Lepisosteus oculatus: one gene and its partner. The protein of the gene in region 2 purifies or fractionates together with the protein of the main gene of each other region. This does not show direct contact. Links are inferred from orthologs where the notes say so. Each region holds a gene or a part of one and is shown on either strand. Other genes may lie near its edges. The genes, in order: hadhb and sodium/potassium-transporting ATPase subunit alpha-1.

What was found.
Region 1: the proteins of sodium/potassium-transporting ATPase subunit alpha-1 (region 2) and hadhb fractionate together in Homo sapiens (co-fractionation; 3 studies listed by BioGRID, with this or other methods). This does not show direct contact. The link is inferred for Lepisosteus oculatus from reciprocal best matches to the Homo sapiens genes ATP1A1 and HADHB.

Annotation. Positions count from the first base shown.
Region 1 is NC_090697.1:47,019,628-47,023,548, forward strand, and holds the start of hadhb (trifunctional enzyme subunit beta, mitochondrial), read right to left. Parts: upstream 2,591-3,921; 5' UTR 2,488-2,590; exon of another isoform or gene 2,454-2,487; intron 197-2,453; 5' UTR 187-196; coding exon 120-186; intron 1-119. Other genes in the region: trifunctional enzyme subunit alpha, mitochondrial, read left to right, coding at 2,855-2,921. UniProt on the Homo sapiens protein: Mitochondrial trifunctional enzyme catalyzes the last three of the four reactions of the mitochondrial beta-oxidation pathway.
Region 2 is NC_090710.1:32,970,046-32,973,966, reverse strand, and holds the start of sodium/potassium-transporting ATPase subunit alpha-1, read left to right. Parts: upstream 1-769; 5' UTR 770-938; coding exon 939-950; intron 951-3,921. UniProt on the Homo sapiens protein: This is the catalytic component of the active enzyme, which catalyzes the hydrolysis of ATP coupled with the exchange of sodium and potassium ions across the plasma membrane.

The DNA of each region.
Region 1 (3,921 bases), on a different chromosome or scaffold from region 2:
CTGATCTGATAATAGAAAGGGTAGCTGGAGTGAAACCAGAAGATACCAGACTGGAAATCCCAAATGACAGACTGATTTATTCTGAATTTTATTTTTATAACCTGTTCTTTTTTTCTTACCAAGTTTAACAACCCAGGCAGAATTTACTGGGCAGTTCCTGATGCCATGTGTCAAAATGGATGCCATTTTTGCTGTCCTAAAATGCAGAAGAAAAAGTCGTCAACATTCATTCTCCTTCTGTAAGGAAAATGTAATAGAACCCTGATCTTTTTCACAGTTAATCCTAAGATTGTTAAACAAAGTATTTCACTTACACTGAATGATCATAAAAATCCAGGTATGATATCACGACTTTCCGTTTATGAAGGATTCACAATTTTAGGAAATGCAAAATTTACCAAAAAAAAAGGAAAAACTGATTTAAAGCTTGTTTGTAAATGCATATATATATATAGAGGTCTTAAAAAGAAACAAAACACTAAACTAGATAAATAAATATCTAATAATGTTTAGTGGGGTACAAGTCAAACAGCCCCCACTGTTTTCTGTAGCATTTAATGAACATAACTACAACTTGTCTTCCCTTTTCATAAATGACAACTTCACAACAGTATTAAAGCTTTAAATGCAAAACAATCCACCTGCATTATTTCAATAGTTTTATTTAAATTCAGCATGATGTTTTTTTCCGTGCCTTTTACATAGCAACCACATGAACCTAAGTGAAAGGTTGTTCTCAAGATAATAAGCTTGATTTGTGTGAGAAGAGTCATTTCTTCACATAAAAAGCAGCAGGGTTACAAAAACTTTATAAAACTGTACCAATCCTAATCTATTAAGAAAGAAAATAAAAAAAATCAGTTCAATAATGGCCTGCGACTAGCCCATTTCGTGGTAAGTACTAAAAGTACAAGAATCTCAACCAGCCATTTATTTAAAGAATCTAAGATATCACAGCTTCAGCATGGCTGGGTAGCTTGTTCCAGACTCCCACAACCATTTTGGTAAAGAAGTGTCTCCTGTTCCTGTTTTGAAACGCACTTCTTCTTGTGTCCAATGGTTCATGTTTCACTGTTCATTCTGAAGGATTCTGCTGGGTTGACACTGCCAATGCATGTGAGGATTTTGAATCAGGTTCTGGATAATATCCCCCTATAGCCTTCTCTGATCATAACTAAAAAGTTCACGTTTCTTCAGCACTATAGTGTAGGACAATCCCTTCAGCCCCACAATGTTACTACTCCTTTCTGGATGGATTCTAGAGTAGCAATATCTATTTTATAAAAACATGGCGAGTTAAATTGTATACCATATTCTAAATGATGCTGTCCAGCACAGCAGACATATGACAGGTTTTGGTGTCAAAATTGTTTGACTTCATGGTTGACCTTAATGACATCTTTGAAGTGTTTTTTTTTTTTGCCTTCTGCTTGAGTGTATGAAGTTGTCTATCCAACTTCACACACACAGGGTATTCCAAATGAAGTCTGCATCACACAAATGTTAACATAACCCCCTGAGTTAAGTTCTACTCTTTTAAATATTTATCCTGCCATTTTGATAAAACGATAAGACAGTAAACTGTTCTGCAACGTCACTGCCTCAGTCTACACAAAGAAGCTGCATTCTGTTCTAGGAGACTCAAAAGCATTTTAGTTATCTCTCAAGCACTTCTATATATTTGACATTTAACTCCACCTTTTCAGAAATTCAAGGTAGTAAAACGCATACGGAATTCATATTGTACATTATATTCACAGATCGGGTGTTCCGGAGTGAGAGTTTCCTATCTGGGTGGAAGCACCGCCCACAGCTACACTTGACCTCTCACCTACTTCTCCAACCTCCATACCACACGAGCCTCTGCAATGAAACAATACATTGCAGTTCATTTTGGTTGGAAAAGTAAGGTCTGTGATAATCCAATCCACACAATTCAAGAACTGTGTTCCCTTTAATGGTTACACAAATCCCGAGATTAACAAAAAAGTGGGGCACTTCTTACTGGTAAAGAGAACTTTCAAACGATGTTGGAAATGCAAGGCGCTTGCAAAAATAATACAAAATCTGGCTCCGACAACGCTCGCTTAATTTGGCACGATTTTCTCGATCTAGAATAGAAAATGAATTATTCACATAACGTACCAAATCATAACCAACCTTTAAAAAAATATTAATCAGTTATCGAAAACAGTACCGATTGCAACTTATTGATCATTGTATTTCATTCACATAAAGATAACATCTATACGAACGATGCAATGTTAAACTATTAAGTAAGAGGAGTGTCACTGAAATAGAAGCGCCTGAATTTCAAATTACTAATGTGAAAACTGCAACGCAATGATTTGCACCTGATGTTTCCCCATGACTTAAAAAAAAACAATGCATGCTGCTTTACATACTTCTCTGCTTGTTTACACATGTTTTAGCGCTATGTCTGAAAGCATTACCCGATTTCTTTTCTTTCTGGCGAAATACGCTCACCTTGTCCGTAACGGAATACTCACACGCAACACCCAAACCCTGACTGACCCGGACACAACAAGCCTTACAGTTGTCTCTCTCTAAGGACCTTCGACAGGTTGTGCTTTCCCAATCCTCGCCTGACATCCTTGTGCGGCTCGTTACATTAATGAAATAATAGTAGGAAATTGAACAACAGTACAAACTGGAAACCTTAATAATTTAGAATATTTAGACTTTTATATATATTTAAATTTTACTTTTAGAAGCTTTCTCTTATGTTTTGTCTCAGGCTTATCTGTGGTGTCCTCAACAGATATTAATACTGAAGGTCCTAGTCTGCTTGCCAAAGGTTGTTCTCTCCCTTGTCTGAACTTGACTGGCAAAGATGGCTGGCGTAAGAGCGCTTGGAATACTTTCCAGGTTTGCAACGAGCAGATATTCACTCTTTTCAGGTAACTGAATATGTTAGCTTATTAAGATGCTGGGTGCCACCTGCACCTTCCTCTGTTGCCATTATTGTTTAAGAAAAGAGAAGTTTCTTGGTGCTGGATGAGTGGGTGTACAGTATGCAACTGAAGCAGGTCTGCATTGACCTTTCACCTACTTAAATAGTGACAGTTACTTTGATAGAAATGCACACAGAAGTCATAACATAAGGGTTTTGTTGTGTCTATTGTAGCTGATGCATATAAAATTGAATATTTTTTCTAAGGCAATTTGTTCCTTTATGCGTTTTGCAGTTTTAATTCACCCAGACGTTGCTCTCCTTTTTATTTTTTTCGTGATTGATTTGCTTTCTTTGAGTCTTAAAGGCAATTTCATTGAATTTAATCATGATTATTAGCGTTCTTAATAGTTAATGTTTTGGATTTTTGTAATTCTTTGAAGTAAGTGATTATAGTGCAGTACTACAAACAGCAACGCTAGGAAAAATTAAGACTTTTTCTACACACTGAGCACAAAGACTGAACACACACCAATGTACTCAGTCTTACAGTTTTTGTTTATTCTCCGTAGGGTGTGAGAGTTTTCTTTCCTTATGTGTATTGCATTCAGTTAGTTGAATATGGAGATTTGGAAAAAATACCAGAATGCTGTTAATCACTCTGCAGTAATTAAAGTTACCTTTTAATATGGAGGAGCATTCGTTCTACTTGACTACTCAAACACAGAATTGCTAAAGTATTAAATGGGGTGCCGTGCAGTTTAATATTCAGTGTTAATTATAGTGATCAACTTCTGTGCCTCTGACTTAAAGTTCATAAAAAGCCTATAAAGTATATTCATTTAATTTTTGGAAGGCAAGGGGAAAATCGATTTTATTAAGGCACACTGAGCCTATGTGGAGTGAAAACGCTGTTGCTGTACCTTCTTATACCTTAACATTCATGTCACTGTGGCAAGAGAAAATCACTGCAGTCTTCAAAACCCTTTCAGTTTAAGGCACTTTTT
Region 2 (3,921 bases):
AGAAAATTAACGTATCTGGGAAATGTAAACCACACTTAACAGCATTAGTTTAAGTTAGTAAGGGTACTGAGGAAGGAGCGTGTTCAGTACTGTAAGTAATTTTAGGAAGAAAAAACATTGTGTTTCTTTTTGGTGACCTCATTCATTTTGTGCAGGTCACAGCCTAATTGCACAAGGTCAGAAAAAAATTCCATCTGTGTTTAAAATGCATCCTTCTATCTGTTAATGAAAGGTTACTTTAAAATAATCCTAGTTTTTAATTATTCAAACATAAATATTGCGTTATATATCCAAGAGTAGTATAACAACAAGGCTCTTGTTGAAAATGCTGTCAAAAACTAAATCAGTATTATTTTTACAACCCCTCGCCATAAAAAGAAACATTCACACACCGAGAGGGTAAATAATCACCATCTCAGATAAATCTTTCGAATGAAGCTCTTGGGTGATCGTCTTGTATACCGGCTGAACAAAAAAAACTGCAATACAAGCATACTCGAAAGTGCATTACCCAAAACTGACAAAAGGTTGAAAAAAAAACGGACAGCTCCGCTTTTCTGCTAAAAATTCTCGGCAGATTTGTACGTTCATCTACAGATGAACTTTTCATTCGCGTCAGATTGTAAATGAAAGTAACTTTATAGTTTATCAGGAGAACTGATAATAATAATCTACTCAAAGGAGGAAGACTCCTCCCTCATTTCAAGGTTACCATGGCAAAAAGTGCAGACGTCACCGTCGAACGAACCCAGTATATAAGTATTTGGAAGGCGGCGAGAGAGCCAAGGGAGGTCGGCTGTGGGCTACGGAGAGGTGCGGCGTGTGGACTGAGGACAGCCAAGCGCAGCAAAGTACACCCGATCCGATCCAAAAGATTTATCAGTTGTTCTTAACTCCTCGGAATTCGGCTAGGAAGATTTACACAAAACACAGCAAACATGGGAGTTGGAGTAAGTGATCTTCTCAATTTTCTCGTCTGGTGCCTGACAATCTGCCCTCGGCTAAGAGAGCGGCGCCAAAGGCAGCATAAGTCACACTCATACAGGTGGTGTTTTTTTTTTGTCTGGGGAGGGGACGGGGGCAACTAAGGAGCTGTCTGCAGCCCCAGAGTTGTGTGCGGGCGGCGCCAGCCCGTATCAAAGGTCCGCCGCGGACCTGTATCCGCGCTGGTTACTTGACTGAGGAGCGCGGAAAGTTCAAGGCGCATCGAAGAGTCGGCGGAGTCGGGCGGCGAGCTGGTTACATTTCACCAGGCGCCGGCGGCGGCTGCGCGCAAGCCAGTCGTGAGGAGCGGGGCTGGGAGTTGCGAGTCGAGTTTATACCTGGGGGGTCCTGACGTGTGAATACGGGCTGCTTTATAATCGTTGTCTGGGATTACAGTAGTAGTGAATGAAGGGAAGGAAAAAAAAAACGGCTAGATAACGTGTAACTTCCTCCTACTTGTTAAGCGTGGCCTACAGTTTTCCACGCTGAGAAGAAAAGGGAAAGAAAACTTAAACTCGCCGTCTTGTGACTAAAACAGATTAGTTAACTTATTGACATCAATATAACTATTTTCGGTTTTAAGTTTATTAATTTGTGTGTGTGTGCGCGCTGCACCAAACGGTAGCAGAATAAAACACATGTTGGATTTCTTCGGTATGTTGAAACTGAGCAAATCATGTGCTGGGGAAATTGGCGCACGTCTCGTTTGTCATCTGTGGTGGTGCTCGCCGGATGTCGGCTCAGCTCTCCTTTTCAGGTTTCCGAGAGAAAACGAGGTTCTGGTCCGTAAGAGTGAAGGGCTGGAGCTGCAGATGTGGATTATGTGCTGGCAGTGGCGCAGAGGCAGGAGGCGACGGGAGTGCGAGACCATCGTATTGAATTAAATGTGAGGGTGTCAAAAATGAACCTGTCTGTTTCTAGAAAACTGCGGTAGGGAAGTCAGAAACGTCGTTCAATAAAAAAGGGATGATCTTAAATTTGAAATCCAAAACTATACTCTTGGTTATGCGTTTTTATTGATTATGATTCATGGCTATAATACTCTGCACACATTTCCTTTTTCTTCTGAGGGATATTCGTTAATGAACTCGCCACTTTTATTTCCTAGAGACTGCTAGCCTTTTATTTTTTTCGGCGGCCCGTTTCCTGAACGCGATTTTTGCTACAAAAAATGTAGCGTCTTGAGACAAAATCACGCTTTACAGGGGCGAGTCCTTCACTTTTTGATTCTCGTCGATTCTCAAAAAGCTCTTGTCTTAAGTAAAAGCCAACTTTAAGACGTCTGGAGGTTAGCCTACTTTTAATTGGGGGGGAAAAAAAAACATGGTGACTCGTAGACTTTAGTTGAAGACTTTCAAAACCGTGTCTTGTAGATATGTTGCTAGGTAGAGGAAAGCTGATTTAAGTAGATCTCCGGCTTAATATGTGGGTAACAAACGGCCTTTCTAAGTGTGACCTCATTTTGATTTGTACGGTTTCTTGGGGGGTGCGCCCGGGTTTCTGGAGGTGTAGTGAGTATTCTATAGAAGTTACAGTTGCGTTTCTCTCGTAGCTGATCATTGAATCCGTATGCTTGTGAAATAATTAGTAACCCTTTTCATTCTGTCGTGTGGTTGTTTGATCGGCTGGAAATGCGATCCTTATTGCAGTTGCCAGTACGCCCGCAGAACCCCAAACACACTTGCTATTCATGGGCTCATTAATATGGAAGAGCAGCAGTTCTGTAGGTTCTTCCAGCCAATGCCTGGCTTTGTGTGCTGTCCTCGGAAACAATATTTAAAATATGTTCAAGGTTCAAAGTCTGGCTACTGTAACGTCTCTAAGAATAAAATCCTAGGGTGAGCCCATATCTAAGCAATTCCTTTAAAGATGTAACACTTTTTTACATCCTAGTCATGATTAATTGAACTCTTGTTGTTTATCCATCTCGGTAATAGAAAATGAAAGACTGTTATATGCTTGTCATGAAGGCTCAGTGATCTTAACTCTGATGTTTGGCAGAACATCAGACACAAGGAGAGCTGATTTAATGTGGGACATGCAGAGAAAGGGCTTGGCATCTTTCCTTTACTCTGTCACCCTAACAATGGCAAAAGTGGTGATCGTGACCCTCCTACAACATGTGATCCCCCACCGCACCTGTTTCACAATGCGGGAATGAAAATCGGTCAGCTGAAGTTTTTCCTTTTACTGTTTAGGACTTGGTAACCTTTTCCGAAAGTGGATCAGGTTCTGTGAAAGGATTCAGCAGACCCCTTTTTTCCTCTGTGCTGGTGAATTGAAGATTACGAGATTTAGCATCTGAGTGACAAATTGTCTTGGTTTTGACAGTCAAAGGAAGAGTTGTTTGTCCCTGTACAGCATAATTTCTCATTAAAACTAAGTGAACGTGGGGTTTCTTATGTATTGATTTTTTTTTTCCTAAAAAATCACTTTATAACCCAATCCTTTGTAGGCAAAGCAAATTACTTTTGAATATCCTGAGGTGTGAATGTATTTATTAGTCATTGCTGCTGAGCTAGGTTTCTGAGTGGTATACCTGTCCAAAGATTTGTACATGTGCAACAACTGTTTTGAGGCATTCTACAAAATGAGCTTTTTCTCTGAATATCTTGATCTGAGTTTAGATTGGTGCCTGTCTAGTTTACGTCAGCCTCTTGGTCTTTATTCACTGTTGGATCTTTCCTGAAATGTTTTTAGTCAGAGAATCCTCCCCAAATCCATTCTAAGAACATACTGTACCCAACTTTGGCAAGACCATTTCAAAGAAAGAAAATGCCAGTAAAACAAACCACAGTTTTTGCCTAAAATATTGAATACTTAAAGAAACAAGATTGGGTGGAGGGGACTTTTAATCCCCTTTGTATAACATCTAGTTTGCAGTTAAATATCGACTAGATTTCAGAATGAATTTCCCTGTTTTAATTTAAATTTTAC